5 linked regions of the Mus musculus genome follow. The main gene of each other region encodes a partner of the protein of the gene in region 5 in a complex. Links are inferred from orthologs where the notes say so. Each region holds a gene or a part of one and is shown on either strand. Other genes may lie near its edges.

Evidence for each region.
Region 1: the proteins of Flna (region 5) and Itgb2 are in contact, whole or in part, in a crystal structure (PDB 2JF1), measured with the Homo sapiens proteins. The link is inferred for Mus musculus from reciprocal best matches to the Homo sapiens genes FLNA and ITGB2. Residues at the interface, in NP_001104026.1 of Homo sapiens: Val2241, Thr2263, Ala2266, Gly2267, Ala2268, Gly2269, Gly2270, Leu2271, Ala2272, Ile2273, Ala2274, Val2275, Glu2276, Gly2277, Pro2278, Ser2279, Lys2280, Ala2281, Ile2283, Phe2285, Phe2311; in NP_000202.3 of Homo sapiens: Leu753, Phe754, Lys755, Ser756, Ala757, Thr758, Thr759, Thr760, Val761, Met762, Asn763.
Region 2: the proteins of Flna (region 5) and Cftr are in contact, whole or in part, in a crystal structure (PDB 3ISW), measured with the Homo sapiens proteins. The link is inferred for Mus musculus from reciprocal best matches to the Homo sapiens genes FLNA and CFTR. Residues at the interface, in NP_001104026.1 of Homo sapiens: Thr2263, Gly2267, Ala2268, Gly2269, Gly2270, Leu2271, Ala2272, Ile2273, Ala2274, Val2275, Glu2276, Gly2277, Pro2278, Ser2279, Lys2280, Ala2281, Ile2283, Ser2284, Phe2285, Asp2287, Phe2311; in NP_000483.3 of Homo sapiens: Ser10, Val11, Val12, Ser13, Lys14, Leu15, Phe16, Phe17, Ser18, Trp19, Thr20.
Region 3: the proteins of Flna (region 5) and Itgb3 are in contact, whole or in part, in an NMR structure (PDB 2MTP), measured with the Homo sapiens proteins. The link is inferred for Mus musculus from reciprocal best matches to the Homo sapiens genes FLNA and ITGB3. Residues at the interface, in NP_001104026.1 of Homo sapiens: Gly2236, Arg2264, Ala2268, Gly2269, Gly2270, Leu2271, Ala2272, Ile2273, Ala2274, Val2275, Glu2276, Gly2277, Pro2278, Ser2279, Lys2280, Ala2281, Ile2283, Phe2285, Asp2287, Gly2291; in NP_000203.2 of Homo sapiens: Lys742, Ile745, Thr746, Pro771, Leu772, Tyr773, Lys774, Glu775, Ala776, Thr777, Ser778, Thr779, Ile783, Tyr785, Arg786, Gly787, Thr788.
Region 4: the proteins of Flna (region 5) and Itga2b are in contact, whole or in part, in an NMR structure (PDB 7SFT), measured with the Homo sapiens proteins. The link is inferred for Mus musculus from reciprocal best matches to the Homo sapiens genes FLNA and ITGA2B. Residues at the interface, in NP_001104026.1 of Homo sapiens: Thr2263, Gly2267, Ala2268, Gly2269, Gly2270, Leu2271, Ile2273, Ala2274, Val2275, Glu2276, Gly2277, Ser2279, Ile2283, Phe2285, Asp2287, Arg2288, Lys2289, Gly2291, Cys2293, Val2295; in NP_000410.2 of Homo sapiens: Trp1019, Lys1020, Val1021, Gly1022, Phe1023, Phe1024, Lys1025, Arg1026, Asn1027, Arg1028, Pro1029, Pro1030.

The regions. Positions count from the first base shown.
Region 1 is NC_000076.6:77,557,669-77,561,538, forward strand, and holds part of Itgb2 (integrin beta-2 isoform 1 precursor), read left to right. Parts: intron 1-283; coding exon 284-471; intron 472-1,810; coding exon 1,811-2,055; intron 2,056-2,481; coding exon 2,482-2,704; intron 2,705-3,344; coding exon 3,345-3,547; intron 3,548-3,870.
Region 2 is NC_000072.6:18,169,331-18,173,667, forward strand, and holds the start of Cftr (cystic fibrosis transmembrane conductance regulator), read left to right. Parts: upstream 1-1,356; 5' UTR 1,357-1,493; coding exon 1,494-1,546; intron 1,547-4,337. UniProt on the Homo sapiens protein: Epithelial ion channel that plays an important role in the regulation of epithelial ion and water transport and fluid homeostasis. Mediates the transport of chloride ions across the cell membrane.
Region 3 is NC_000077.6:104,638,772-104,642,641, forward strand, and holds part of Itgb3 (integrin beta-3 precursor), read left to right. Parts: intron 1-1,520; coding exon 1,521-1,616; intron 1,617-2,229; coding exon 2,230-2,319; intron 2,320-3,412; coding exon 3,413-3,547; intron 3,548-3,870. UniProt on the Homo sapiens protein: Integrin alpha-V/beta-3 (ITGAV:ITGB3) is a receptor for cytotactin, fibronectin, laminin, matrix metalloproteinase-2, osteopontin, osteomodulin, prothrombin, thrombospondin, vitronectin and von Willebrand factor.
Region 4 is NC_000077.6:102,466,996-102,471,454, reverse strand, and holds the start of Itga2b (integrin alpha-IIb precursor), read left to right. Parts: upstream 1-1,571; 5' UTR 1,572-1,742; coding exon 1,743-1,930; intron 1,931-3,553; coding exon 3,554-3,675; intron 3,676-3,764; coding exon 3,765-3,862; intron 3,863-3,965; coding exon 3,966-4,128; intron 4,129-4,351; coding exon 4,352-4,401; intron 4,402-4,459. UniProt on the Homo sapiens protein: Integrin alpha-IIb/beta-3 is a receptor for fibronectin, fibrinogen, plasminogen, prothrombin, thrombospondin and vitronectin. It recognizes the sequence R-G-D in a wide array of ligands.
Region 5 is NC_000086.7:74,239,828-74,243,697, forward strand, and holds part of Flna (filamin-A), read right to left. Parts: intron 3,339-3,870; coding exon 3,090-3,338; intron 2,999-3,089; coding exon 2,901-2,998; intron 2,813-2,900; coding exon 2,665-2,812; intron 2,093-2,664; coding exon 1,974-2,092; intron 1,894-1,973; coding exon 1,816-1,893; intron 1,723-1,815; coding exon 1,560-1,722; intron 1,477-1,559; coding exon 1,276-1,476; intron 1,046-1,275; exon of another isoform or gene 989-1,045; intron 724-988; coding exon 586-723; intron 502-585; coding exon 378-501; intron 256-377; coding exon 119-255; intron 19-118; coding exon 1-18. UniProt on the Homo sapiens protein: Promotes orthogonal branching of actin filaments and links actin filaments to membrane glycoproteins. Anchors various transmembrane proteins to the actin cytoskeleton and serves as a scaffold for a wide range of cytoplasmic signaling proteins.

The sequences.
Region 1 (3,870 bases), on a different chromosome or scaffold from region 5:
TGACCAGGGCCCAACCTCCTCTTCTTCTAAACACCCATGAGGAGGCCAGATAGAAAATTAGGGGAGGGTACCAGACCTGATGTCAGCTGTAACTTCATGCCTATCAACACAGTGAATACCTGCACATTTCTATTTACAATGGCCCTGGGTAGAAAGATGAGCGTGGGATGACAGCACCCTCTAGGGGCACCTGCTGAACATGTATCTGAGAGGGTGGGCAAAGGACAAAAAGCAAGGCCTGGTCACCCACAGTTGGGAACTGAAGGCCACCATTCCCCTCTAGGTCACCTTCCAGGTAAAGGTCATGGCTTCCGAGTGTATCCAGGAGCAGTCCTTTGTCATCCGGGCACTGGGTTTCACGGATACAGTGACCGTGCAGGTCCGTCCCCAGTGTGAGTGTCAGTGCCGGGACCAGAGTCGGGAGCAGAGTCTCTGTGGAGGCAAGGGAGTCATGGAGTGTGGTATCTGCAGGTGAGGAGGGTACGTGTGGCCTGTGGGGCATCAGTTCATGGAAAAGGTGTCTGCAGATGAGGCCAGCCCATAGCATGGCATGCCTGCTTGTGAGCCACATGTCTTCAAGTAAAGTAGGTGTGGCCAGCTCACCCAGGAAACAGATGCTCTACAGGAACTCCCATATCCTAGCTCTCTGACCTCAGAGACTCTGACCAATCAGATTTGCAGCATGTTGCTAGAGCTCCTTTGGGATAGCTGACCATTCCTGGCAGCCTGGGCCCTAAAACCATCCTGTGGGCATGTATATACAGGCCTCAGTTCAGTTGAGGAGGAGGAAGAGAGAGAGGAGGAGGAGGAGAAAGAGGAAGAGGAAGAAGAGGAGGAAGAGGAAGAAGAGGAGGAGGAGGGGGAGGAGGAAGGATGCAGTGTACAAAGCATAGAGGCTGTAGTTGCCGGTCTGGATACTAGCCATTTCCTTCCAATTGCTGTCCCAGTTTCTGATCTTTGAGATGCTCTATCCTGAGCTCGAGAGATGGCTCCGTGGTTAAGAGCACTGACCGCTCTGAATTCAAATCCTAGCAACCACATGGTGGCTCATAACCATCTGTAATGAGATCTGATACCTTCTTCTGGTATGTCTGAAGACAGCTACAATATACTTAGATATAATTATTATTAATAAATACGTCTTTAAAAAGAGAGAGAGAGAGATGCTCTATCCTACACCTCAGACCTGCACTGGCTGTATACCTCCTCCCAGAAACTCTAAGAGTGGTGGTTTCTGCGGCTGCCCCATCCCCACCCCCGGCCAGTAGCACCTTGCCCTGATCCTAAGTGTACAGCCCTAGGTGGCCTCTCTACAAAGCTGAGCTAACTTGCCTGGAGGATTGGGCCATTGGTCAGTGAATTCTGTGGCTTCCTCCTGCAGGAGGACACTGCAAGATGTGTTAAGATTAGCTACTGCCATTCTTCTCTTACTAAGCTATGTATGGTGTACATACATTCTTCTGTCTACCTAGTTCAGTGATAAGGCAGTGATCTCGGATCTCTACCAGACCTCCTTCCAAGTCTAGGTCAGGAGGGACAGATACTGGCTTCTTGGGACAATCCACTAATACAAGTCTCAGGCAGCTCCCAGGTGAGCCTGCAAGAGGTACCATGCTCATAGACCAGTCACTGTGTGACTGTGACCCCGGAGACATCTTTGCCTAGTACATAGCACATGCTCAGGAGACATTTGGAGAGCAAATGTGCTATGACATACTTTACAGGTGTTTGAGTGACTGTTGGGCCGGGAAGGACAGGTACCCCCTTCCCAAGGGCACACCTAAGTACAACCCCTCCCACATCATACCAGGTGTGAGTCTGGCTACATTGGGAAAAACTGTGAGTGCCAGACTCAGGGTCGGAGCAGCCAGGAGCTGGAGAGAAACTGTCGGAAGGACAATAGTTCCATCGTGTGCTCAGGGCTTGGGGACTGCATCTGTGGGCAGTGTGTATGCCATACCAGTGACGTCCCCAACAAAGAGATCTTTGGGCAATACTGCGAGTGTGACAATGTCAACTGTGAGAGATATAACAGCCAAGTCTGCGGTGGCTCAGGTTAGTGTTGGGGGCTTCCTTGTCCATTTGTACCAGGAGATCTTAAGTGGGACATGGGGGGGGGAGCAGACAGACAAGGCTAGCAATGACCTGTATCTGTGTCTGTGTCAGTCAGCGTTGTCCTGGGAAGGTTGTGGAGGGGAATAGTCATGTCCTGACCCAAGAGCTTTTCAGATACAATAAAGAGGTCCCATCTGGCTGGATGGTGGCCATGTTGCTGAGGATGCAGGTCAGGAAGGTATGCCTGGCCTCTGTGGTTTTGCTAAGCTATCCTTCCATGGTGCTCTGGGGTCATGTGAATTGGTAGAGGAGGCTTAAGTACAAGTCCTCCTTGATTGGTCTGGGGAGCACGGAGGAGGGAAGATGAGCCTCTGTTCCTAGCAGCCTGCAGGGAAGTGAGTCATGTTATCCTCTGTTGTTTTCCAGATCGGGGTTCCTGCAACTGTGGCAAATGTAGTTGCAAGCCCGGTTACGAGGGCTCGGCCTGCCAGTGTCAGAGGTCCACCACGGGCTGTCTGAATGCACGGCTGGTAGAGTGCAGTGGCCGTGGCCACTGCCAATGCAACAGGTGCATATGTGACGAAGGCTACCAGCCACCGATGTGTGAGGATTGTCCCAGCTGTGGCTCGCACTGCAGGGACAACCACACGTGAGTGTTCCCACTGCCCACATTGGCCTCACTGCTGGACTACCTGGGAGCCCTTGGGGACACCACTGCTCCAGAGTTCTTAGCAGGATTCAGCAGGTCCAGTGTCCCTGCCACCACCTGCCTTCTTGCATGGCTGCAGGAGCCCTGGCTTCACAGGGAGGATGCTAGGCCTAGGCCCCTTCAGCCCTTGAATGAAGTTTCCATTAACACTGGCTCTGCCTTCCATACCCTGGTAGGACCACAATTTGTGTCTCTCTCATCCCTCACTTGGTTACCCTGAGACTGAAAGCTCCCAGACCCTCCACCTAGGACCGCCTAGTTTGCAAATGACTACACTCTCCTCAGACCATACATCAGACACAACCATGTTTTTTCCTGAGTCATACACATGACCTTGCATAGCTCTGCAGTCCATGCACCCTCAAATACCAGTCAGTGTACCCACATACACCTGGACATCCTGGCACACACACTTTGACACACTAGCGCACCCTTCCACAACCACACACCTCCACGCACCTGCGTGCCCTGACATCACTGATGTGCCCTCGAAAGAACCAACATGCGCCAATTCACACCTCATGCCCTTACATGCTCTCAACACCCACCCCACCTGACTCCTCCTCCTCCTCCTCTGCAGCTCTTGTGCCGAGTGCCTGAAGTTTGATAAGGGCCCTTTTGAGAAGAACTGTAGTGTTCAGTGTGCTGGTATGACGCTGCAGACTATCCCTTTGAAGAAAAAGCCCTGCAAGGAGAGGGACTCGGAAGGCTGTTGGATAACTTACACTTTGCAGCAGAAGGACGGAAGGAACATTTACAACATCCATGTGGAGGACAGTCTAGGTGAGGCTGGGTGGTACCTGGGGGTGTGATCTCATGATCTGGTCTCAGTGGAGCATAGTTCTCAGTGGAGTACTCTGACCGTGAGGCCTTTGCAGACAGTGAGGGGGCTGTAGAGGAAAACATCTCTCTTCAGTGGGGCAAAGCAGGAGGTGGAGCCATCCGGGACACTTGGGCAGGGCAGCTAGCAGCCATCCACAGGCTCTGCCCTGTGGCCCTCTCATTCCCACTCCTTACCCGGCCCTGTATGAGGAGATGAACATTAGATGGGGTCTCCTGGTGGTAGCTCTAATACATACTGGGTATTGTCTTAGCTTGCTGTGAAG
Region 2 (4,337 bases), on a different chromosome or scaffold from region 5:
AGGAAGGTGCACAGCTTGGGAAACTTCCAAAGCCTCCAGGGAGCTAAAGACTCAGGTTTTTCTCTCTGTGAGCTTGAGTGACTAGGACACTTTTGCTTCAGTGACTCAGAGGCCCTTTTAGTGTCTCAGTCAAGATATTTTGCTTAGCAGACTAGGGAAAGGAAAGGAGGGTCATTTAGTTTAGACTGTCCACCTGTTGTTTTTTAGCACACACACATGAAATACCACACTGCACACTGAGCAGGGCCCGGAGGTAAAGGGCCCTCTTTGCTCTCTTTGTCCTTGAGGACTTTGGCTGTAATTATGACACAGCAGGGCATTGTGACATATATGTACGACACACATGTACCTCATAAGGGAAAGTAGTAGCTTCCCTTTCCTTGGTAGGACCTTTGCTGTAATTATGACATATCAGGGAATTGTGACATATGTGTATGACACACATATACCTCATAGGTATTTGTGCCACTATGGCTACTCTAGAGCCTTCAGTCAACAGAGCTTAGGTCTTGTCCAGCTCTTGAAGGGCTTACTGAGGTGGACACCTCAGAGTACTGTGGAACTTGCTGCTTCCTGAGTGTTCTTTGATACAAAAGAGCCACATTTTCATCTCCTTTTCAAAATGGATCTTGAAAAGTTATCTGTAACTAAGCCAGGAGCTAAGGAGACAGGAGAAAGAGGGAGTGAAAGAGAAGAAAAACGAGGAGAGAGGAGTGAAAGGGAAAGAGGAAGGGGAAGAAAAGAGGAAGAAAGAGAGGAAAGAGGAGAGCGAAATGAAGGAGAAAGAGATGAAGGTGGAGGAGGAAGAGGAAGAGATGAAGAGGAAAGAGATGAAGGCAGGGGAGGAATGGGAAGAAAAGAGAGAGGAACAGACGGGGGAGAAAGAGATAAAGGAGAAAGAGGAGAAGAGGAAGGGGGAGAGGACGAGGGAGAGGGAAAGGGAGAAGGAAGAGAAAGGTTCCAGGAAGCCAAGGAGATCAGTGAGTGGTCTTTATTTCCACGAAAAAAGGGTTCTAAGTCCCGCAGATTGGCCACGGTTTACCCGGGCCCAGGGTCGGGCCCGCAGTCTGAGCCGGTGTTGCTGTGGCTGCCTGAAGGTAGGCACGCGGGGGGATCTGGAGGGCGGGCGCTAAGGCCGAGGGCCAGGGAAAAGGTGGCGCCGGCGGGCGGGCGGGCGGGCGCGGGGCGCGCTGGAGGAAGGAGCGCAAGGAGCGCGCGGGGCGGGCGCGGGCGCGGGGCGTGGAGAGCAGCGACTGTGAGGCTGGGCTAGGCAGCGCTGGCTTTAACCTGGGCGGCGGAGGCGTGGGGAAGAAGGCTGAGGAAGGGGAGGTGTGTGGGACCCGAGTGGGTGGGGGGAATTGGAAGCAAATGACATCACCTCAGGTCTGAGTAAAAGGGACGAGCCAAAAGCATTGACCTGGTCCTGGATATCCAGATGTCGAGTCCAACCTGAATTTAGCCGAACACAGACCTCATTGCCTCACGGAGACATCATGCAGAAGTCGCCTTTGGAGAAAGCCAGCTTTATCTCCAAACTCTTCTTCAGGTGAGAGGGTACTCAGCGGATCTTTGCACGGACACATGTGCCTATGCAGGAGAAGGGAATGAATATGGGCAGACTTTGGGAAAACAGGAAGAGATTTTTGTTGTGTTTGTTTTGTTTTAAAAGGTGTGTTGTCATTCAGTGCTTTAAAGGAAATAAGCATTTTTGTACAATAAAATGAAGCTGATTGAATAGAGAACAAAATATACTTGCAACTGTGAATCAGACTTGCAACAGCCAAATATGCTACGGAGCAATAGATATATATTTTTTTAATTTCCTGAAAAAAGTTATACTTCATAAGTGTACTTAATAGAACATTCCTAAGATTGGTCTGTTATTTTCTCCAAGAAAAGCTGACCGCAAGTGCAGTGCCTGTGTAATAGGTGCTCTGAAAACATTTGTTGACTGAATTTTTTTAAAAGTCCAGGAATTATATTGTATTTACTTTTTGCCGTTGTAATATTGAGTAAGTCTAACATGCTCATCACAGTTACATTATTCTTTTTAAAAATGAGCAAGTCAGTTAAAATATCTAACTTTAAAAAGAAATAATATAAGCAATGCATTAAAAAAGTGAGTTACCATGGGGATATGAAACTAGAGTTTTAGCCACTGAAGCTATATTCAATTGACAATTAGGACATTGTTCTCTTATCCTACATTGTCAAAAAACCAAACCCTCAATCTAATAGGATTTTTAAATTAGAATTTAAGTTGGAAGACCTAGGCAAGAATTAAGCGCTTTGTATTTGAAGTGCTCCGTGGAGCTTCGTCTGCTCTGATCCTGTAGTGTGAATGAATGAAAAGAGCAGCGCTCATGGGTCCTCAGCTGACTCACCCCCCCCCCCCCACACACACACCAATGAGTCAGCACACTGAAGTATCATAAGTGTCGAATATGTTCTCAACCTGCCCTATGCTGTGGGTAGGGGGCAAGGCTCAGCCTTAGTCTTCCTGATGTTCCTTTTTCAGCCGGTCTAGAGCTCAAGGCTGAGGAAAGACAAGTGCTTCTGCAGGAGAGCTCCCCCCGGTGGTTGGGAGAGAAGGAAGGGCTTTCTTCTTTAGAATGAATATTTGTGGTGCCTTTTGTTACTTCATCTATAAATCTAGCTTATCGGTCTGGATCTATTTTCTTATTACTTACAAAATCAGAATGTCACTTGACATACATGTGAGGCTTTTATGAAAGCCTATTGAGGAACCTAAATGTCAATGTGTCTGTAAAGGCAAGTTTTCAGGAGAATGAATATCTCTTGTGTGGTTTTCCCACTAAGTAGTAAGAAACTTCAAAATTTTTCACTTATCAAAGTGTTTCAAAAATTTCCCGTTTTTATAACCCACCTAATAAATTGTAGTGTGCTTTACAAATGTTCTTAGGCTGATTTGGAAAGGAAATGTATTATAATGGCTGTGAAATTTGTTAAGAACATACTCATTTCTGCCCTCCAAATGATTTCATAATCAGTTGCTTTAAGAATAGGTGTGTTTTTAAGAGTTTAGTTCCTACTATTTATAGGAACTGACATTTAGCTAAGTACTAGTCAGTGATTATAAACTTCCTTCTGGACTTTAATTTTCAAAGAGTAAAACCCTTTTCTCCACTGGACTAGGCAGTGCCGCCTAGTGACCAGGGCAGTGGGCCCTGGATTCCCATGGCCTGGACTCAGGCTGCAGATCTACTGCTTAGTAGGCAAGCCCTTTGGTGTCTCTGCATGACTTCAGTGCTACAACTTGGAGTCTGTCAGTGTGACACATAATGTAATGGGTTAGTCTGTTGAGGAATATATGCTGTGCTTTGAGGACATGTTAGCTGCCCTTACTGTTGTTTACATGTTTACATTCCTCGAAGTGCTGGGATCCTCACTGTAAAGGACAGTGAGTTTATTTCTGCTGGGTGCACTTTTGTGACTATAGCCTGTATCTATGCCATTTGCTTGAGAAGTTAGCATAGGGGATAGATAGCCTCACGTAGCATGGGCTTGTTAGATACTTAGATGAAAGCCATGCTCTTACATCAGATCTCCTTCAGTGCCTTAGAATTTAACCTATCCCATCAAGCTTAGGGTTATAAAAGACTCCTAAAAGCTGACTTCTATGTGTCTACTATTATGGTCTTGGTTTTGGATTATATTAATTAACATTTTAATTATTTAGATTATGTTACTGAGAAACCAAAACAAGTTTAATAATAATTTAAGTACTTTTTATTTTTTTAAGTTTTCAGTAAGTAAAAAAATGGAAAGACATTGGAATTGGTCTAACACAGAAGATAATTTTACCATGAAAATTTCAAGTAATTTTTTTTACTTTCATGGAAAATAAATGCATTAACTTGAAGGTGTAATGATAACATTTATGAAATAAGTTGTTTCAAAACAAGTGGTGATATATTTATACAGAATTTATGATTGACATATTAGTGGAATTAATTCCTAAAAACCTTTGATTTGTAGAAATGTTTGAACTTTACACTTTCATAGAGATTTAAGAAAAAAGATTATGCCTAACGTGTACCTGTTAGTGTGTGTGTGTGTGTGTATGTGCGCGTATGCATGTTTGTATGACCATAGAGTGCAGTATAAGCTATCATCTCTTGAGTCATGTCTCTCATTGGCCTGAATCTCACCAGTTATGTTAGACAGACTTGCCAGTGAACCCAAGGGCTTTCCCTGACTCTACCTTCTCAGCACTGGGATTACAATCTTGTGTCACTCTGCCCGCCTTTTCACCTAGGAGCTTGGGATTGAGCTCGGTTCTTCATTCATGTGAAGTTCTTCTCTGACTGGGTTAT
Region 3 (3,870 bases), on a different chromosome or scaffold from region 5:
TGTTTGTTTTTTTGAGAAAGGGTCTCTCTCATTCTATATGCAGCCCAGGCTGGCCTTTACCTTGCAATCCTTCTGCCTCTGCCTTCTGAGTGTTGCGATTAGGAGTCTGAGCTACCATGCCTGTTATTTTTTTTTCTGGTCTGGAGGCTGAACCCAGTATCTTACAGTATGTTAGATATTACCTAACTACCAAGCCACTCCAGCCTACTCTGTTTTTTAAAGTCAATAAATAGAGGAACCACCTGTAAATGATCAAAGGCAGGACACTTGACTGGAGATCTCATGAGCTCCCTCACAAGGTCTAGGTTTCCACGGACATAGTCATGACTCGTACTGTTTCCTGGTCTCTCCACTTCCTTGGTATTAACCACATCCAAGCTGAGCAATGTCAGACAATGGGTAAGTCAGCAAACTTTGACACTAGTCTACCCAGAGCACTGAGCTGGAGCTGTGAGAGATGAAACAGCTATAAGGACCTACCTACTCTTAGGAGGTTTAGATGAAGAGAGAGGATTTATCCCTACACAGTATTAATAGCATGGAACTCATGATGTACACTAATTGGGTGGGTGACACAGTCAAGGGCTATTGGCAGTTGAAGGAGGAAAGCTCTTAGAAGCTGGGGTGGTCAAGGAGGGCTTCCTGGAGGAGGTGAGCTTAGGCTAAGGAAGGAGGAGGATTACCAAGATGACAGGTAACAGGAGAAATGAGCCAGGTCAGTGCTGAGGAGAAGAGGCAGGCGTAGGGGTGAGTGACATTTGGACAGTGAGGCTGAGATCATGTGGCAGGTGACCAGTAGAGCGAGGTTAGGGCATTTGCCCGTAATTCCACAACAGTGGGGCCCAGCCCATGGAGATGTTTTGAGCCTGAGCGGGAAGGAAGGTGCTTGGTTTTGGAGCCACCAGCCCAGGGTTCATAGCCGAGCTTCTGGGACTTTTTACCCTTTCACTCAGGCACTGCGCCATTTTCTGTTGCTAATGATACAATAGCACAGACACAGTAAGTTGGAAAAGAGCTTTCGTTTTGTTTTTAGAACTTGTGAATTTGAGGGACAGCATCTGGTGATGATCACGGCTGGCTGAGTCCCAAGACTCAGGCGGTCCTGAGGCAGGAGGTCAGGGAGCATGCGTGAGTCCGGAGGACAGGGAGCATGCGTGTGGGTTTCTGTCTTCATTGGTTTTCTTTTGTTAAGCTAGTGAGATTCAACTCTGGGGCCTTCTAATTCTCCTTACTTCCCAAAGACTTTACCCTAAATACCTTAGCGGTGTGTGTGTGTGTGTGTGTGTGTGTGTGTGTGTCCACTGTCTCAGCATCTCACAGGGGGAAATCAGTTTCAGCTCACGAAACCTGAGGGGTTTGCTGAAGCCACACCCAAACCATAACACTCACTTTGATTAGTGGGTAAAATCAAAGTTTCACATTGCTTTGGTCATACCCCAAATAAGACAGCCTCAAAGGCGTAGAATCCAGGGATGCCTGTGAGACGTGTCTATTAACCTTCACCTTTTCCCCGTTTTCAGGACTACCCATCTCTGGGGCTGATGACTGAGAAACTATCCCAGAAAAACATTAACTTGATCTTTGCAGTGACTGAAAATGTCGTCAGCCTTTACCAGGTAATTAGGGCTCTGGGCTTCTCTCTTGTCACCATAGGTGGGACCTGACCCCGGTGGCCAGCTCCTGCTTTCACTAGCCAGGGACCCAACCAGGAAAAAAATCCTTTTAAACTCATTCTCCAGGCTGCTTACATTCCTCCCTGTAGCCTTTTCCCTTCAACCTCTCACCTATAAGGAAACCTGTGGTGGTTTGCAATGGCGGCGGAGGTGACTCAGTGGGGGGAGGGGTAGAAAAAGGTTTTTGTTTTTTAAATAATGTTTCTTAGATATGAAAATATGCTAGATCTGTTTTGGTAGTAACAAGTAAGATACTTCACAGTGCCCTCCAAACTTAATTTTAAGACTGCCAGTTGGGCGGTAGTGGTGCATGTCATTAATCCCAGCACTTGGGAGGCAGAGGCAGAGGCAGAGGCAGGCAGATCTCTTGAGTTTGAGGCTTCCTGGTCTACAGAGCAAGTTCCAGGACAGCCAGGGTTGCACAGTGCAACCTTGTCTCCCAAAAACAAAGAAAGAAAGAAACAAACAAACAACCGCTGCCAGTCTGACGAAGGAGGACCTGAGGAGGAGACCACTTTCTTCAGGACGCTGTGGACATCTTTGTCTTCCTTTCTAGAATTATAGTGAGCTCATTCCTGGGACCACAGTGGGAGTCCTGTCTGATGACTCAAGCAACGTCCTCCAGCTCATTGTTGATGCTTACGGGGTAAGAATGCTGGCCCAGGAGGCCCTGGTGCGTCTGCTGGACGAAGCTTACTCATCAGCGCTTTTTAAAAAAAGAAGTACAAGAGGGATGTTGTGGTCTACGGCAGAAAACAGACACATAAATTTCCTTCAGGAAGGAAATTATATCAAAAAGCCGTGCTTGGACCTGTGGGTGGGAGAATATTAGATACAAACAATATAATAGGGGGACTGAACATAATAGGACCTTAAAGGTGACAAGAGGCTTCCCTGTAGAGCCTGAAGAGGAGCTTCATTAAGAGAGTGAGAGGTTCAGAGAAGGAGAGAGAGAGAGAGAAAGGAGAGAGAGAGAGAAAGAGAGAGAGAGAGGAAGACAGAGATACAGGACAAACTTCCATGATAGCAGTGGGAGGGGAGGCCCAAGGAGCCTCTCCAATGAGCAACCTTTATCTCCAAACCCAATCTTCTTGCTGAGTCTAAGACCAATCCCTAGAACAAAGGGAGGCTCCAGCTCTGTATACGCTTTAGGAGTGGCGGGAAGTTTCCAATCATATGGTTTGGTTGAACATCACACACAGAGAAGCCAGGAGGTACTATATACATTGAGAACAGTCAAGTCAGAGCACAAATTGTCTTGGAACTCTCTGTCCCAAAGACAGCTGCAGGGACTCAGGCTGTGGGGTCACTCCTAAAGGTGCAGGCCCATGTTCTAACAGAGCTCGGATTTGGGAGCCATCTGCCATTCTCCTGTATGGTCTTACTGCGTTTCCTTTATGCTCCCAGAGGTAGATGGTGGCCAGCCTTGGGAGTAATGAATGGCACCTTCAGAAATGGGCCAGAAAGGAAGGCCAGGGAGGAACAGGAACGGCATGTGGGGAGCTTAGAGGAGGAGGAGGCTGCAAATGGGGATTCGATGCCCAAGAATGCAGCTGTAGGGCAGAGTGAGGGAAAGCCAGGTCTCAGCCACATACAAAAGAGGTGACCGAGCATAGAGCCTCCATGGCAGCAACTGCCAGGTAAACCTCAGGGCAAGTCCAAGGCCACTGGCTTGGCTTTGTGTGGATGGACTTGGCTTTTGTCAGTGCCCTAACCTTCCTTTACCCTCTTCTGCTCAGAAAATCCGCTCTAAAGTGGAGCTGGAAGTACGTGACCTGCCGGAAGAACTGTCACTGTCCTTCAATGCCACCTGCCTCAACAACGAGGTTATCCCGGGCCTCAAGTCTTGTGTGGGCCTCAAGATTGGAGACACGGTGAGGTGGGCTAGGGGAGGGACTGATGCTGAGACTCTGACCATGGGCCCCGAGATCTGTGTGCATCCTGACCCTTTCCAGAATTAGGTGTTAGGGTAGTAGGGTTGTCAATCTTTGCCCGTGAAGCTTCGGATGCTTAAGGTTTCTAGAGCTGCCAAGGAAACCTATTATTTATTTTTTCTTAAAATGTCTATTTTGGTTTTCTGTGTTTGCACGTCTGATTGAAAGTGAAAATATCTCTTAACCTATCTCATCACCCAGGGTAATGCTTTTCTTTTCTCTGCCACATAAAATGGGGGCAGTATAGCATCTGTGGACTCTTG
Region 4 (4,459 bases), on a different chromosome or scaffold from region 5:
GGTGTGTGACTGACTACATACCTGTCATGTTTTGGCACTGGAAACACACCAGTGAAGAGAGCCCTGAATAAAATCCAAGGAGCTTTCTGCTTAGTGAGGGGTAAAATGTTAGGCTGTGTGCTAAGGGGAGGCATGCGAGGAAGGGAAGAGTTAGGAGTGCTTCAGAAGAGGGGAGAGTGGTAAAGTAGGATAAGGCAGTGGTTAATTCATGGAAATAAAGATGGAGGGGACATGGCTTCATGGTAGAGCACTTGTCCTGCATTCGAAAGGCTATCCCTAGCACTGCAGAAAAGGAGGGGAAAAAAGAAAAGACTTAAAGGAGGGTGTGGCTATAGTCCTACGACCCTTTGCCTTGGGGCAAAAGGCAAGCAAGACCATCAGGGCATGCGTGGTGCTCTTCTGCTCTCTGCCCCCTACCCCCATAGAGAAGGATCTTTTTTTTTAAAGACTTATTTATTTATTATATGTAAATACACTGTAGCTGTCTTCATACACACCAGAAGAGGGTGTCAGATCTCATTATGGATGGTTGTGAGCCACCATGTGGTTGCTGGGATTTGAACTCAGGACCTTCGGAAGAATAGTCAGTGCCCTTAACCACTGAGCCATCATCTCTCCAGCCCGAGAAGAATATTTCTACGCAGAATCTGACCCTCCTCACTTTGTTTACTCCTTCCATCCTTTAGGAAGACTTCAGATTCAGCCTTTCAGCAGCACTACATGCTGGGCTGTGGGCTAGGCCCTAGGACAGCAGAAAGAACCCTTGCTCTCAAAGGACTCGGGTACTCAACCCAGTAAAAAGTGCCATCAGGTACCATGCCCATGTGTGTGTATGCCATGGTGCCATCCTGAGGACTCACGAGGTTTCTCCTAGTCAGTGACTCCGTCCACAAACAGTTCTGGAAGGTTCTATTCTAGCTATCTTTCAATCTATTTTATTTATGTAGATACTGTCAACCAAAAAGGAGCAAAGCTGTTCACTTGAACAGCTGGTGCTCAACCTCGAGGACTGTGAACGCCGCACCTCAGAATGATGTCCTTTTAGCTCCATCTCCCCCCACTTAGGCCAAGACCCATTCATCACCCCTCTGCCCAGTATTGAAGGCTCCAGTGTAACCACACTAAGACTTGGTTCAAGATGGAGACGTGAGGAAAGTGATGGTCAAATGCAACCGGCTGAGGCTGCCCAAAGGCTCATGGGGGAGGAAGTGGGTAAATGTCCTACTCAAAATGATGACAGCCTCTGGTCTTATCAGGGGAGAACAGCTTGCTTACTCCTTCCTCTCCCCTTGGCCACATCACAGCATTCAAGAGCAGGATGGTCAGCTGCATGGGGGAGGTAAGAGCTGTACAACTGTGGGCCATGGCAAAGTGAGCCAGGCAGCGAATTCATGGTTATACTTTCCCAGGCAGAAAGGGATGGTGGCTGGACTTTCACAGTGACAGAGGAAGAGAAAGAGAAAGGGGATTGCCGGGCTTGTGGCTGAGAAACAGAGACAACAGGACATGGAGGTGAGCTTTCCTGGAGAGGAAGGGGAAGCAGTGACTTCCAGCCATCAGCATCCATCCCCGGGGTGGGCCCTCCCCCGTCCTAGTCGACGTCTAGAGGCTATTGCCCTCTGCCATGCCTGCTGCTCAGCCATGAGCTCCAGTCTGATAAGCTGAAACTTCCGGTGGTGGGAACTTCAGGGAAAGGGAAAGAGCTGGCCCATTCCTGTTTAGGACGTTTGGGAAGAAGGAAGATGGCCAGAGCCTCCTGCGCATGGCATTCCCTGTGGCTTCTGCAGTGGACACCACTGTTCTTGGGTCCTAGTGCTGTTCCTCCAGTCTGGGCCTTGAACCTGGACTCTGAGAAGTTCTCCGTCTATGCAGGTCCCAATGGCAGCCACTTTGGCTTCTCAGTGGACTTTCATAAGGACAAACATGGAAGGTGAGCGCTAAAGGACATATGGGCGTTAAGAGAGGTCTGCACCCTCGAATTGCTCCTGTGGACTCTCTCAGTACCTAGATGAGCAAGGTCAGTTCTCCGGTCTGAGTGGAGCTCCTGTCAATGGAGGACCGTTTCCAGGGTGGGTACTGGGGAGAGATAGCAATGGGGAGATGAGCACAAAAGTTTAAAGCTGATGTCTTCCTTTTTCCTTTTCCCCAAGTGTCAGTGATGTGACCGGCTTTACCTCCCTCCCCTCACCCTAAACTGACTGGCAAAGCTACAAGTACCTACCTGGTACACCTTGCTTTCCTCCGTTCCATGCCTCACCTCCTTCCAAATTACAGATGTTTGAAAAGAAGTATTAGATTACTAACAGTCAGTATGGATCAGGCTTTGAGGTCAGACTCCTGGCTCATCTACATAGCTGTGTTTATCCTGAGTGACTTATTGAGATGGACACTGGATTGCCCAGGACTGGGGAATAGTAATTATTCTCAAAGACAGCTGCAAGAAATTATTTCTTCTGCCTGAGAGAGCCACTTCATCAAAAATCAGGTCCCCTTCCCAAGATGGCTTGCACGCAGAGACTATTCGTGATGGGGAAGAACCCAGGGTTGCCTCAATTCTAATGATTCTAAAGGGCACTTCTCTAGCTGAGTGTGGTAACATGTGCTTGCAAACCCAGGACTTGGAAGCTGAGGCAGGAGAACTACCACAAGTTAAATAGCCAGGGCCACATAACAAGACTCCATCAGAATAAATACATAGAATTCCTGATGGGTGTCATGACAGACACCTTTAACCAATCTCCTTTACTGGAAAGCAGAGTTAGGCAGAGCCAGCCTGCTAATCCAAATAGTGAGTTTCCTCCGGGACAGCCAGAGCTACATAGAGAGAGCCTATCTCAAAACAAATAGACAAAACCAACCAAACGAAACCCTCCTGGCATCAGAGCTCCTGAGTGCCTCTGTTCAACTCCTTTCTTTTCTTCCGGTCTCCTGCTTCATTCCCCAAGGTCTGGTCACATGGGCACGATTTAATAAGCATCCTGTGTGTTTATTAACGCACACGTTTACAAAAGCATGTTGCCGGATCATACTAAATACCTCTCATACAATTATTGCATTTACTCTTCCAACAGCAACATTGGTTGTCATTACCTCCATTTTACATATGGCAGGCCTGATTTAAACAGAGATCTGCTAGGCTCCTCAACCCTGTCAGTACCGTACATCCCAGTGAGCTCTCCCCGGCCTTCCCCCTTTCAACCAGGTCTAGCTAAGGGATCTCTCTAGAAGTTTGACAGGCAGACATTTTGTCTGGTTCTTGTTGGGAGGGAGTGAGGGTGAGGGAAATCGGTGTACAAAGGAAGCATAACAGGTCTTTTCAGTAAGGATTATTAAAGCCTTCCCATCCAAACCAAACCAACTGGTTTAGTCTCAGGTTAATTTCCTAAGAATCCACTTTCAGCTAAAATGAAGAGGTTGTCCTCAAAGGACTATCTGTGAGGAAAGGTGGTCCAGTTTTTCCTATGCCACGCCTCCTTCCAGGTACTGCTGGGGCAGTGGGCACCGGGCAGGATAGAAAGGCCATAACCTGTGCTCATCCAGCTTTCCTACACAGCGTGTCCATCGTGGTGGGCGCCCCCAGGGCCCTAAACGCAAGTCAAGAGGAGACTGGAGCCGTATTCCTGTGCCCCTGGAAGGCCAATGGTGGCAAGTGCAACCCGTTGCTCTTCGACCTCAGTGAGTCTCAAGAATGAAGGGGAAAGGGGGTCCCCAGGTGGAAATGGATGGCCGGGCTCCAGAGCTCCACCTTTACTTGTGCCCTCCAGGGGATGAGACACGAAACCTAGGCTTCCAAATTTTCCAAACCTTCAAGACCGGGCAAGGACTTGGGGCGTCGGTCGTCAGCTGGAATGACGTCATTGTGGTGGGTACTGTGGACAAGTCAAAGGGAGCAAATCCAGGGTAGGGACACGTTGGGGGAAGCCCGAATAAGCCCCCTTCCCTACTCTCCTGTGGGTCTGCTCTAGGCCTGTGCCCCCTGGCAGCACTGGAATGTCCTGGAAAAGCGCGATGAGGCAGAGAAGACTCCGGTAGGAGGCTGCTTCTTGGCTCAGCTCCAAAGCGGGGGCCGCGCAGAGTACTCGCCCTGTCGCGCCAACACCATGAGCTCCGTTTACGCAGAGAGTTTTCGTAAGCTCTGGTTTGCCATTCGCTCCGCCCACTGATCGCTGCCAACCCCGCCCCACCAAGGACCTCGGGCCCCGGGGGCCCGCCCCTCCGCTACACCACGCCCCTGGGCCCCGCCTCCATGTCCTCCGGGCTCTGCATAGTTCCCCCTGCCCACGCGGGGCTCTTGGCTTAAGCGCACATTCGGGGGACCTCCCCTTGGCTGATCCCCGCTTGCCTCTTGTAGGCGGAGACAAGCGATACTGTGAAGCAGGCTTCAGCTTGGCGGTGACCCAGGCAAGTCACAGGCAAAAGCAAACAAGAGAGCTCAGCTTGATGGTTGAGACAGGGGGAG
Region 5 (3,870 bases):
GACCTTCCACAGAGAAACCTGACAACAGCCATCAGTTCTATTGGTGCTCTGGAGTCTTGGGATAGGCTGCCCTTGCCACCCTCTAGTCCAGGTACCCACTCTGAAGCCTCCAACTTACCCAAGGTGCCCACATCATCACCAATGGCCTCTACTACGAAGTCTGCTGACTTGCCAACAATGCCTCCTTCCAGGCCAGGACCCCATGCCCGAACTTTCTGATTGCCACACTCAGTGCCTACCTTCACCTCAAACGGACTGCAGGCAAGAGTACCACACAGGTAAACACCAAGAGCCACTGCCCTATGCCCAACAGCCACTGGCCCCTCACCAGATAGATGGTAGGGCTCAGAACATGATGAATAGTGGAGGGAGCTTACCTTCGACCAATGTTCTGGCCACCCCATGTGATGGTGACAGTGTATGTGCCAGGGATTGTAGGGTAATATTCAAAGCCATACACACCATCCCCTAAGTCCTTCTGCTTTACACGCTCCTCACCCTCTGCAAAAGCAAGGAAGAACTTAGGCCTGCTTGTCCAACCATGACCTGAGGTCTATCACCCACCACCCCACCAGATAAACTTACTGGGACCCTTTACAGTGACCTTTAGCTCCCCACTGCCAGCGCCCTTTGTGTACACCTTGAAGTCGGCTGTTTCCTTCACTCGAACACCCTTGGGCTGAAGGCCTCTACCAATAGCCCGGCAGGCAGCTGGGTTACAGGCTGTGGGCAAATAAGCCAGCTGAGTTGTGGGGAACTGGGGCTGGGTATCCCCTCCCTTGCTACCCAGAAAACCAGGCCATTAGGATTGGAAGGTTCCTCAGAGTTTAGGACCACAAGCTGGTGAAGCACATGCAAGAAAAAACTTAAATGGGTCTAGAACCTGTACCCAAAGCAAAGACATGACAGGCTTTTTCCCACCTGCTTGACACTAACCCCAATACCCCTACCCAGTCCTCCCCACCAAGAGAAAGGTAGATCCAAGTACCGTTGACCCTGCAGGTAGAGCAGAGAGCAGCAGGTTTCTAGACAGCTGGAGCGAGCTCTTCCGAAGGTAAAAGCATGGAGAAAAGAGACGAAGAGGGGCAAAGAGAGGAAGGAGAGCAAAAGGGCTCCAATATGGGAAAGGAAAGATAGTGCTTGCCCAAACAGTGGAAGCTCAGAAACTGGGGCTCCCAAACATGGGCTTCAGTGGGACAGTCCCAGTTGCCAACTCCCTCCCTAGAGCCCCAGGCCATAGTACCACAGTAGAAGAACACTCATGGGCAGGCCTACCTTGGCCAACAGTGACAGTGTAGGGGCTACGAGGGATGGGAACACCGGCGAAGGTGACATGTACTGTATGGACACCCTCCATGGTGGGCTGATAGCTACAGCGATAGGTGCTGTCACCCCTGGCCTCCAGCTGAGGTTCCACTGTGCCTTTCTGTCCTGTAGGGTCCTGGATGACAACTTCCACCTCACCCATGCCAGCTCCTGTCCCAAGGCACAGACTCAGCTCTAGGACCCCAGCACAGCTCTCCCCCATGGCTGGCTGGGCCTGGGCTGTCTCCCCTCACCTGCAGTGAAGATCTCAAAGTAGGTAGTCTTGTTGGCAATATTGCCACTGGGCTCCAGACCAGGGCCCTGGGCAGTCACTTTGCTGGCATCACCCTGTGACTTGTCCACATACACCTCAAAGGGGCTCTTGGCAATATGTTGGCCAGCAAAGAGCACAGTCACCTGTTCCCAGAAGGGGCAGGCTGTGAGAGTGAGGTAAGGGGCCCTTCACCAACTACCCATGGCCACCAGCTTCCTTCTCAGCCAAGGACTCACCTTATGAGTCCCTGTCACTTCAGGGACATACCAGACAGAGAAAGTACGGTTCTTGTCATTATTGGCAGTCACTTTTGCCTGTAATGGGAAGAGTGTTAAGAGCAACCCCTTTAAAAGGGGGCATAACAGAATCCTGCCCTGCTAATGGATAATCCTACCTCTTCCTGGTGTCCAGCTGGGTCCTCCACATATACAAGCACTTCTCCCTGTCCAGCACTTCGGGTCTCCACAGTGAATTCTGCTCTCTTCTTCACCATATTGCCTGTAGGCTCGATGCCTGTCAGAAGATGAGAAAGCCATGAACCAACTAGTAGGGCTACCCTCTCACCTCTATACCCTGGTTCCCAGACCCTAAAGGGTTATGGACACAGCATTAGAGACCCTATCCCTCTGCAGGCTCAGTGCCCCTCCCCCAGCTAGGTACAATCCAATCAGGTAGATTTGTTCAATGTAAACCCAGCATTGAGCCGGGCCTCAGATCCATGCTATATGGGCTATTGCCACCAAGACAGGCCCATGCCTGTTCTCTGAAAAATCTGGTTTGCTGTACTTTCCTAACCCCTTGCACCTGCACAATCCTGACTGCTTCATCTCCAATTATAGAATAGCAGTACACGAGGTCATCCTTCATACGTGAGGTTCTTCTCCTTCAATCAAGAAGCTTCCTACAAGCCAGTATGACTTAAGGAACTTACTAGTATTCCCTTGCCAAGGCACCATTTTTAACCAGGTTTTGATCCATTCATCTTCCTCAAGACCTCTTAGGACCCAAAATGAAAGAGAATACTGTCCCATGGACCGGATATAAGTGCTCAGCCCCTTGGAATGCCACTGACCAGGCCCCCTCACCTGGCCCATAGGCTCGGGCTTTCTTCGGGTTCAGTTTGGGCCGAAGAGGAGCCCCTGGCTTCAGCTTGGCCTTGGGAAACTGAGACAGGTAGGTCATAACAGAATGCTCATCTACATTGGGGTCCACAATTTCTTCTGGGGTAATCACCTGTTACAGACAGAAGACAAGAGCCATTGGGTCTCTCTTCACTTTAACCAAGCACCCCTTAGCTGCAGGGGTCAGTCCGGGAGCATACCTGAGGAATGCCTAGCCAGTCATCAGCCTGCTGCATGGCTTCCCGTGCATTGTTCACAGGCTTACTAGCATCCCAGGAGTCCCAGTCAGGACATAGGCCTACAACACAGAAAAGAACTTGTTGTGAGTCTGGGGCTATAGAGCTACCTTCTAGGTTGACCAGACAGTCTTAGCCCAAGATCTCCCTTACCTGGGGCACAGCTATCAACAAGAGCACCCAGGGCCCGGCCACTCTGCCAGTCTCGACTGAAGTTGGTAATGGGAAGCTGTGGTAGCTTGTTCTGAATCCAGCCTAGAAGCCTCTGCTTGGGTGTTTGCTTCTTGGCCTCCTCATCCTCTTCCTCATCCCACATGGGCATTGAGATGGAATAGTGCAGGATCAGGGTCCAGATGAGGCCTAAGATCAGCTTCAGATTTCCATCCACAATAGCCTTGCTGTCTGTGGGAAAAGGCGTGGCGGCATTGCAGTTAGGGTATTCCCTCATGAAGGCCAGCAAGGAGGGACCTAGGTCTGCAGCACAGCAAATCAATTAGGTGACAAGAGGCCCCTCCCAACTAGGGGTAGAAAGTGGATCAGGCACCCTCTGCCCAGGGCATCTAAATGGTGTAAGAAAATATTTTGTGATAAAGGAGAGTTTGGGGGGGAAAGACTCCCATAGACACATAATACAATCCAATAAAAGGGACCCTGCCAAAAACCGCAAAGCCCAGAAGGAGGGTGGAAGAGCAAGTGAGATGGATGCTGTACAGCTGCTGAGATCAAGACCTGCCCTAATATCTTGAGATCTATGGGAATTGGGAGAAGTGGCTCAGCCCTAACTGGCCAAGAAACAGGGCCCCTGACCTCAAGCTGGGTTGGAACCAAAGAAGAGGAAGGCTAAGTTGGCAAAGAGTAGTTAGGAAATACAACTGCTGCTCCAGAGTGGGGGAAAAGACAGAGGAAGTGTTGGCAAGGATCCTTGTGTAAAAGG